3 linked regions of the Ovis aries genome follow. The protein of the gene in region 1 interacts with the protein of each later gene in a pairwise test. Links are inferred from orthologs where the notes say so. Each region holds a gene or a part of one and is shown on either strand. Other genes may lie near its edges. The genes, in order: KLHL41, NRAP and RCHY1.

The links.
Region 2: the proteins of KLHL41 (region 1) and NRAP interact in binary tests that used the Homo sapiens proteins (3 or more experiments, as listed by UniProt). The link is inferred for Ovis aries from reciprocal best matches to the Homo sapiens genes KLHL41 and NRAP.
Region 3: the proteins of KLHL41 (region 1) and RCHY1 interact in binary tests that used the Homo sapiens proteins (3 or more experiments, as listed by UniProt). The two-hybrid records come from large-scale screens. The link is inferred for Ovis aries from reciprocal best matches to the Homo sapiens genes KLHL41 and RCHY1.

Annotation. Positions count from the first base shown.
Region 1 is NC_056055.1:139,969,277-139,972,212, forward strand, and holds the end of KLHL41 (kelch-like protein 41), read right to left. Parts: intron 1,779-2,936; coding exon 1,667-1,778; 3' UTR 502-1,666; downstream 1-501. UniProt on the Homo sapiens protein: Involved in skeletal muscle development and differentiation. Regulates proliferation and differentiation of myoblasts and plays a role in myofibril assembly by promoting lateral fusion of adjacent thin fibrils into mature, wide myofibrils.
Region 2 is NC_056075.1:33,668,881-33,672,538, forward strand, and holds part of NRAP (nebulin-related-anchoring protein), read right to left. Parts: intron 1,057-3,658; coding exon 952-1,056; intron 1-951. UniProt on the Homo sapiens protein: May be involved in anchoring the terminal actin filaments in the myofibril to the membrane and in transmitting tension from the myofibrils to the extracellular matrix.
Region 3 is NC_056059.1:91,098,645-91,102,302, forward strand, and holds part of RCHY1 (RING finger and CHY zinc finger domain-containing protein 1), read right to left. Parts: intron 3,259-3,658; coding exon 3,180-3,258; intron 1,267-3,179; coding exon 1,222-1,266; intron 1,113-1,221; coding exon 1,054-1,112; intron 963-1,053; coding exon 936-962; intron 8-935; coding exon 1-7. UniProt on the Homo sapiens protein: E3 ubiquitin-protein ligase that mediates ubiquitination of target proteins, including p53/TP53, TP73, HDAC1 and CDKN1B. Mediates ubiquitination and degradation of p53/TP53; preferentially acts on tetrameric p53/TP53.

The sequences.
Region 1 (2,936 bases):
AATCTCATGTCTACATAGATCAGCACTCTCCCCCACAAAGTAACCACTATCATGCTTTTATAGTAGACTTCCCCTTAATAATTCTGTCACCACCGTCATGTTCTTATAGTAAAGACTTCCCCTTAATAATTCTCTCACCCAAGTTTGCATCTCTAGACATCATAATTTCCCACCCCTACCGTATTTTTCTCTACCTAATCTTTAAAAACATTCTTTTTGTGCATTTTAATTTTTTTGACCACACCACGCAGCATTCAGGAAGATCCTCAACCATGGATCGAACCCCAGACCCCTGCACTGGAAGTGCAGAGTCCTAACCACTGGACTGCCAGGGAAGTCCCTCCTACCCCAGTTTTTAAGTCTGTCTTAATCTATTAGCATCTCTCCTTCTTAACAATTTATCTGCTAAATAACCTGTAGTTGCCCACCTTTGGGATTTGCTGATTGTATACTCAGGGTGCAGTTCAATATAGAAAAGTACTCAAGATTATACTTCAGAGATCCATAGTAAGACTAAATTTTATTGAATATTTCCATATTTATGATGCAGAAAATAAAGCTATAGCTTTATTTTATAAATATGAACATTCATATTTTTATGCAGTTGCTTAACAAGTAATAATGGAATACTCCAAGTCAGTTCCAATTCAGGCCTCTCAGAAAATAACACAGATAAGGCTAGAAGTCAAACATGTCTGTGAAAGCACATGAGACCCATATGCCATGATTAAGTTCATGACTTGCAGACAGTAGAATGTAATGGTTTTGGACAGACTGAGATGTCATCTTGCTATGTATGCTAAGAACAAACAATTTCAATGTAGGGTTTTACATCCCAGAAAATAGAATAATACAGTCATCCTTCTTTCTATCAGAAATTTGCAAATAGGTAGCTCTTTAAAGTATAGATAAAACTCAAAGCAATGAATACACACCTTTCTCCATACCACCTGCTGGCCCCAAATTCTGCCCCAGCATTTAAGGAATCAATCCTTTTCCTAAGATTGCCTCCCAACCTACAGGTACTGCAGTTAAGGACTTGAAGACTGTGATTTACTGGTTTTTAATTTAAAATTTGATTTAAATCACAATATACCAGTGTTGCATAAAGAAAGGGGAGAAAAGAAAGAAAACTTGAATTTGACTATTTTTGCTTAGAGACTTTTCCCTTTCAAATGAAATCCATTTATTCCGTTTCCAAAGTCTTCTCACAGCATATAATCTTTAATATACTGCACAGGGTTCTTGTAATATCTTGAAGCATGAGGAAAGGTTTTTGCTATTAAAAATTTGTTTTATGTAAATGTACATATTTCATTCTCCAGTTTCATTTGTAATAGAAAAAGGAGTGTAAAGGCACCTTAACAATGCAAATGAAAGGATTAATAAACTCAAATTTAGGAAGCTCCTTTATAATTGATTGAGACAGATTAACAAGAGAAATAATCTGTTCAATTTAACATTTATTATTTTTTTAAGCTCTGATTATTACATTGAAAATTCAGTAACTTTGAGGTTTTGATGCCCACTGCTAATCTCTTGGACAATAACAAAGTAGATAATTTCTACATGGAATCTCTGTATAGGCTTTTTAAAAACAATAAATTAAGGCCCTATTATCCAAACAGACCACCTCCCTATCTATTATATTTTTTCACCTTCTTGTTTATAGCTTAGACAGTTTGAAGAGATTTAACCGTGTTGCTAGGCAACTAGCTCCTGAAGCATAACGTATTTCCTTCAGCATCCCAGCCCATTCTTTTTTATCGTCTTCATACCTGATGGAGAAAAAGAATGTAATAAGTTGTTTTAAAGTAGACAGTTCTATAGATCTCCTGGTATTAAATATTTCTCTGAGAAAAACCCATTTGATCTTACCCAGAGGAAGATGCACCTGACTCTTAGACTAACCCTTGAATTCCTCCAAAAATGTGCATTCTCTGAGCATATACCCAAATTATTGCCACGGTATTTGATCTGGATGCTTAGTCAGTTAAACCTTCTCTGGGAATCAAAGACTGTCCAGTGATGATAAGTAACAGGCAATTAATCCTTCACCTCTGGACTGCTAAAGATGGCTGGTCCCCATGAATCCAGGTCAGCAAAGAGTAAGAACTGGGAAGAGCAGAGACAATTAAGTCGCCTTGATTCTGATTTCAGCTGTAGCCATACACCAGTGTGATGCAAGGCACTGACACTAGGGGTCACTCTGTAAGAAACTTGCTCTTCCCCTTTACTGTCCTGTGTGAGTGCTGCTCTTAGACTTTGCACTGGACCTTAGGTAAGAACTGGTCACCCTCTCTGAATATTCAGGGTCATGAAGACACAGACAACTTGAGTCCCTTTGAGACCCTTTTCCTTTGCCTGGTGCCTGGTGCTTGAAATGCCATCTCTGCATGAGAAATTCCTCAACATTGCCTTCTCTCTGAAGCCCTTCTCGCCTTCCTGAAGCAGTTTGTTTTGTCTTCATTTCTTACGGTGTTCTTTATATGGTATCCATTGATGATAACAATTATCATCCTATTTTAATGTTTTTATATTTATGTCCTCAACAAGCTCAAAGTTACATGTATTTTATTCACTTTAGTATCTTCCCTTCTCCAGAAGCTATCAATACTTGGCACATAGGAAATACCCCCAAATCATTCTGTGATGAGTGAATGAGATTTAAAATAATTTTAAAATTAGCTGATGCCTATGTTAGAGTTGAGAATCACTGCCTATTCTTGTTTTCCAAGCAAGAATTATCCCTGTTTTTCAAAAACCCAAACCTTTCCAGCCCTCCATTATTTCATCCTTTTTTTCTGCCACTTCCAGTGTTTACCCATCTCACCCCCTTGCTGAGTCTTTCCTCTCTGGGGATCTCCAGTTTCTTTATCTTCTTCCCTCTTTTTTGAAGGGAAGGTGGTAATAGTTAACTTCCTTTTATAGCCACT
Region 2 (3,658 bases), on another chromosome or scaffold:
TTAATCAGCATTATTCAGCCAACCTTCAAAAATCTGCTACCTGTTGTGTGCCAAGTGCTAGATTAAGCAATTAACACTAGGAAAAGAAAATCAAAAAAGAAGAAGACAAAGTTCCTCTTTTAAGATATGTGTGGTTTCTCTAGGGAGATAAAACTAACATATGAAACAGTGATTAGAAAATGTTTGGTGATTATATGTACTGTATTGAAGATAAACACAGTGAGAGTTTTCAAAAACCAATCTCCATGTGAGGCCCCCTGATTTGGACAGGAATTTGAGCTGGACCTCCAGGGATGAGGTCGGTTACCAGATGATGCAGAGAGGCAAGGAAAAGCATCTGCTCAAGGAGGTCTGTTCCATGAAGGCAGAGATTTTTGTCTGTTTTGTGCACTGATGTATTCCAGCAGCCTGGAATAGTGCTTGGCATATAATACTCCATACACACATGCTGATTTTAAAAAGGCCAAAAAAAAAAAAAATACCCCACACACATGTTGAATAAATTCTAAGAGTGGGGACTGCCATGAGTAAAAGCATGAGGGCAATGATAGACTTCACGTGAAAGACCATGAGGAAATGGATTTGACTGGAACTGGGGGGAAGAGATAGGGAGCCAAGCGGGCTGGAGGTATGGCAAGTTGGACAGGTTGGGTAGAACCATCCTTTGGCGATCTGAAAAGTCAGATCATTCATATGTGAAAATACGCTCAATCAGGAAAGTTTAAATAGAAAAAAACAAGATACAGGTCAAAACTTTTGTCTGGTAATACCAAGTATCGTGAGAATGTGGGAAACAGACCATGGAGGTCTTCTGTAGACAGCTGGAATGACAAGATGGATAGAAGAAAGCTTAACCAATTCCCTCGCAAAGTAATGCTGACTACACATGTCATCTGCACAACGTGCCATTCTTTTCTCTGCTTCCAAACCTGTTTCTAACTCTCGCCTCACCTCATCCACCAGTGGTTGCCTGTTAGGTGCGGCGGCCTCATCCTTGGATTTCATGTCCCAGTGAAAAACCGACTTAAACCGTTCACCATCCTCCTGGCCACCGATCTGCACAGTGAAGATGTCATCAGCAATGTTTCCATCAGAAACGAGCAAGGTAACAGACAATACAGAACTGAATTGGGGGTGGTGGGGGGAGCGGATCCTACGTCTCAACTGCAGAGCTTCGTAACTGTATGACAAGCCACACTGTACTGTCAAGTGTCACCACCGGCTTCATCTGTACTATCAGCCAAGTGGCACGTGGATAGCACCTACTGTGTGCAAAGCTCTATTGTGCAGCGCTAATAAAAAGACAATGTCTCTACAAGCTCATCACACAGTACCAAGTATTCAGCTTAGAAAACACCAGACGTGAGAGCAGTGGTTCCTAACACTCGGGGAGCTTGTTCAATGCTGGCTCCTCAAATTCATGAGGTGTAGGAGAACATGCTTTATGATTCCACCTTTCACATCTTGATCCGTAACACACCTTGCGTTAGTGTTTATGTATAGGTATGAGGTAGGTGTCAAGGTCCATCTCTTCTACGTAAAGTGTCCAGTCACTCAGGTACCATTTATTTAAAGATGATTCTTGCTGCACTGAATTGCAGCGGTGCCTTTGTTGTAACTCAGGTGACCACATGTGTGCACCTCTACTTCTTGACCTGGTATTGTTTTCCACTGAGCTGTCAGTTCTACAGTAGTGCCAATACTACACTGAGTTAACAACCACAAGAGGCACCCTGGTGGCTCAGATGGTAAAGAATCCACCTGCCACGTAGGAGACCTGGGTTCGATCCTTGGATGGGGAAGATCCTCTGGAGAAGGGAATGGCAACCCACTTCAGTACTCTTGCCTGGAAAATTTCATGGACAGAGGAGCCTAAAAACCTGGTAACCTAAGTCCTTTGATTTTGTTCTTCAAGATTTCTTGGCCATTCTAGAATCACTGTATGTTCATATCAATTTTAGAATCAGTTTGTCTATTTTTATGAACAACACCAGAGTTTTGGCTGGGACTGCACTGACTGTGTCAATCAATTTGAAGAGAACTGACATCTAACCATATTTTCATGATTTCAGAATAGGCAAAGATTTCTCAAGGAGAACATAAGAAGAACTAACCACAAAAGAAAATATCAGGGCTTAGGTTCAAACCCAGATATCATAATGCTTGAGATCCAAGATGGAGCCCAGAAATCTGCAACTTAAACAAGTTGAAATCTAAATCATTAATTTTACAGATGAGGAAAGCAGCTCAGAGAAGAGAAGTGAACTTACTGAGATCATTCAGCAGGTGAGCAAAGCCAGGTTTAGAACCCGGGAATTCTAGTTCCCTGTCAAGGGCACTTTGTCTGGGCTTCCTTAATGCAGCACTAACATGTGTATAAGTACATAAATTGAGGAATCTTTACATGCCTTTTCACTTGGCTATTGAGAAGTTACCTTGAACACTACATAAACTCATGGCAAAGTTTCTTGTAAGCAGCTCCACTGACATTTGGGGCCACTTTATTTCTTGTTGGGGGCGGCCTGTCTAGCTCACGGCAGGATGCTGAGCAAGATGGGTGGTCTCTATCCACTAGATGTCACCAGTATTCTTACCTTCCCAGTTTTGACCAGAAAAAGTCCCTCAGATGTCACCAAATATCCCCTAGGGGGCAAAATCGCCCTCCTTTAGAGCCATTGACTAAAGGAATCAGAATCACGTGACCAAAGTCCACAGGAATCTGTATTTTCTGCCCTTCTCCCACAGTATAGGCAGCGGGGAGGGGGGGGGCGGTGCCTGCCTCCCTAGAGACCTTTCACAGGGCTCATGACTATTCGGAGGAAATAGGAAGAGGAAAAAAGCCATAAATGTTATTTGTGGAATAAGGAAGCATTAAGGGCTAAAGTTCATTCTCTGAATAGGAGAGAATCTAGATGTTCTATTCTGCTAAAAGTTCCATTCACACCTACCAAACAGGAAACTCTGTCTTAGTAAATATTTATTTATGTATTTATTTTTCAAAGAGCCATATTTAAAAAAACAGAAAAATGTTGACCAGCTTCAAATGCCATTTCACCTTCATCGCTGTAACTGAAGAATCCCTTTCTTTGCTTTTTTAATTTTAGCACGTGCACTATGAATCTGTTTTTTATTCAATTGGCAAAGTCTCCCAGAGAAGAAAAGGGAGTAAGGATGCAATACACAACATTCCCCAGGGGGGTTGTAAGATCTGGGGCCTAGAAGGGACATGAGTGTCCACTTGATTTTTCCCCTGGTGGGAAAGGAGGAGAAAGGGGTCTCAGCAGCCAGTTGTTCTGTACACAGGCACACGCACACGTACACACATATATGCATATACACAGAGACGCACATGTGTGTGTACACGTATGCATACACATGCATGCACACACACATTCAAGTATGTACACATGCATGTAAACACGCATCCACCATATACACACAGAGATAACACACATATACACACACACAGACCACACACACACAAATGTGCACACAGGCATGTATATACACATTCGTGTATATACGCACATGTATATACACCATGTATACACGTGCACACATATTCACACCTACATACACACATATATACACTCCCCATATGCAAACATACATATTTACACACATACACACATATTCACACAGATGTGAACTAACACAC
Region 3 (3,658 bases), on another chromosome or scaffold:
GTAGCCTCTAGGAGAGATATAAAAGAGTTATTTTCCCAGTATTAAATGGAGAGTATATCAACTCGGGCTAACTGGTATATAACCCATCTAAAACAAGCATTATTCTATACTTCAAGACCATCTCACAAACCTTTTCATTTAAATCCTGTATCGTAGGGTATTTTTTAAACCTACTTCTTTTTCCTCAGTTCTATAAAATGGAGAGGAATTTAATATTCTTTGTAGAATATACGTAATATATTTTAAAAACCAATTAAACTGCTTTTTAGCTAAACAGCCTCAATTTCTTAATATATTCAGGCAAAGAAGAGATTGTATTCCTTAAAATTTATTCAGATCATGTTATTTTCTTTCTAAAAATTCTGAAACTGTTCCCTTCTATCTGGCTCTTAAATTAAAATTTCTGCTCATCAGTTTGCAGGACCAAAATACATTTACACAATTTCCTCTAACTATCTGCATCTCACTTTAGCATCCTTTCCCCACAACAAAATTAGCATTAGATAAATCTTGGTATGAGTTTTGGATTTTTTTTGCAGCTCATCATAGTGGACTAATACAACAGCTAATAATTTTGGGCAACATGTCTCAGCATTTTTATTTTTACAATGGTATGACTATCTCAACAGACACCAAGCTCCCCAATTAGTAGCCAGGGAATGAAAGGTATCTGTCTCAAATTGCAAATGAGATATGACATAATAGAAACATGAGGACTAAGGCAAAGTCCAGTGTTTCTCTCCCAACATGCTTTGCCCAATTTAACAGTACTCATCTATCCTACCCATCTCAAAGGAAATATCCACCATATCCAAATATGGTATAAGTAACTGGGAGTCTTGTCCATTCCCTTCCCCACTCGCCTGCAAAAAAAACAAAAAACAAAAACAGACATCTTACAGTAACAATTTTTTATAATCCCATCAAACACTTACTCTTTCAACATGTCTTCATAACACGTTCTGAAAGAAAATATAACATTATTTTAATGAAGCAAAAAGTATCTCCACCATTTCCAAACATTTTTGAGGAAAAAAAACAAAGTTACTTTACTTATGTAAAAGATGTCCACATGGCAAGACACGAGCAACAATACGAGATGTGTGAATGTCCTGTAAAAGCAAATAAAGTTGGTGGTTAATTACATGAATAAAATATAAATACCCAGTATTTTAAATTCAAAAGGGGCTATTTCCAAAGCAAAAAATATTTTAAGCTCACCTCCAAACATATTGGACAATCCTGCCGGGAAACATTTTCAATACACTGTTTAAAAGCAAAATTAAAATTACCAAAAGCTTAACTAGATGTTAATTATATAACCACAGCATTAATAACAAAAAACAAAAGAAACAATACCAACTTACTAAATGTAATAATGAACATTAATATGTTTCTTATATGTCAGACAAGAACTGAACAGTTAACTCTCACAACTATTTCAGGCTTTACACATTACCTGAAACAATGAAATTGCCTAATATATCTTAATTATTCAAATTATTTTCATTTTACAGATAAATAGTAATAGTTCATATTAAAGACATTTTACTACATGCCATATGTCAAGTTCATTACCTGCTATTCTCAATTAATTTCCACAACACTGAAACACATACAATTAGTTACCCCATTTCACAGATGAGGTATTTGAGGCCTGTGCATGCATTCAAGTGTGCTCAGTCATGTCCAAGGCTTTGTAACTCCATGGACTGTGGCCCACCAGGCTCCTCTGTCCATAAAATTTTCCAGGCAAGAATACTGGAGTAGGTTGCCATTTCCTTCTCCAGGGGATCTTCCTGACCCAGGGATTGAACCCGCATCTCGAGCACTGGCAGGCGGGTTCTTTACCACTGCACAACCTGGGAAATCCCTTTGAGATCTGGAGAAGCTAAATTACATGCTATCAAGAAATGGAAATATATGTGTGCTCCTGAGTTCTTAACTTGACAAGACAAGGTCTGATTAGGTGTGAAGAGGTAAGAGAAAGCATCAAGCCATAAATGATACCCAGGCTTTTTAGCAAACACCTGAGTAGATGATACCACCACTTACTAACAGAGACAATAAAAAAATAACCGAGAAACAAAACAAAAATACCATAAGAGAAACTGAGTATATAGTTTTCTAAAGACAACACAGCATATCTAACGGCAACACAGCATAGTTAATCAGCCTAAACTCAAGTCTGTAAAACCAGATCCAATCTTTTACCATCTCCTACAGTCTATTGATAAAGTACTTAAAGCCAGGACTAAAATCCTCAGGAGTCATCTTCATTCAGCCCCCATTCTCTCTCCCTTACACTTGTCACTGTACTCCCTATTGTCATTATTCACCTCAGTTTCTCTTCCTACCTCAGTATTTTAGGCTAGCTAGGATCTAGCAGGGCTTCTCTCGTGGCTCAGCTGGTAAAGAATCTGCCTGCAATGCAGGAGACCCAGGTTCGATTCCTGGGTCAGAAGATCCCCTGGAGAAGGAAATGGCAACCCACTCCAGTATTCTTGCCTGGGAAATCCCACAGACAGAGCTGGGCAGGCTAACAGTCCATGGGAACACAGAGTAGGACACAACTGTGTGACTAATTTTCACTTTTTCATTATCTAGTATCTTTTTAAAAACACCCTCATCAGATTCTCCATTCTCTCAATTCTTGGATAGAATCAGTACTATAAGCGATAGCTTATTAGATTTTCTCCTAAATAATGAAAAATAATTTTTAAAAGACCTAAGACCATGATATAAATAGGTCAAGCAATAGGTCAAAATTCTACATCCAAGTTGAAAATATTTTTATTGAAAAGGAATACTGGATTATCTAGGAATGCTATATTAACAAAAGGTTACACTGCTCTGTATTTCTCCTGTACCATACATTTTAAAAGCTATTCTCAAAACCAGTTCCAATGATAAGAATCCACAGGCTAATTTAGAGGCTGTCGACGTTATACTAATAACTGATGTTAAGTATTCTTACACACTATAGAGAAGAAAAGGGAACTGTACATCAAATATTCCAAGGTCTGTACTTTAGAACATTTACTTAATACTGCTTAAAAATAAAAAGCAACATGACAGTACTCAGTAACATCTGAAAGTTAGCATGCTTTTAAACAAATTAGGATTTTAGCTGTTTTCAAATATAATACTTTTTAAATCATACAAACTAAAGTACGTACCTTGTGCTTCCCTTGGAGATTCACTGCAAGGCATAAGTTACATTTCAAACAGTGGAAATAATCTTCCTTTGGACCAATTCTAAAAAAATAATGTGAAAACAAAAGATTACATATGTTTTTATTACATAGTTACTCATTATATATAAGTTCAGATTCACTATAAACAAAGTTCAAACCACACTGAAGAATATGAGGTGAATCCCTACCTCCCCAACATCACTCCCCAAATGCAAGCACTACAAACAGAATGGTATCTATCTTTCCAAGTATTTTTTTCTTCTATAAAACTGCATACACACATACATACAGATACACACGCTTTGAGTTTTATTTTTTACACAAATGGATTCTATCCTGTTTTGCAACTTCTTCTTCACTTAACAGTATTCCTTGGAGAGTATTCTATGTAAGAACATACAGAACCACTTTATTCTTCTTCAAAGTTACATAATATTAAATGATATGGATATATCTTAATT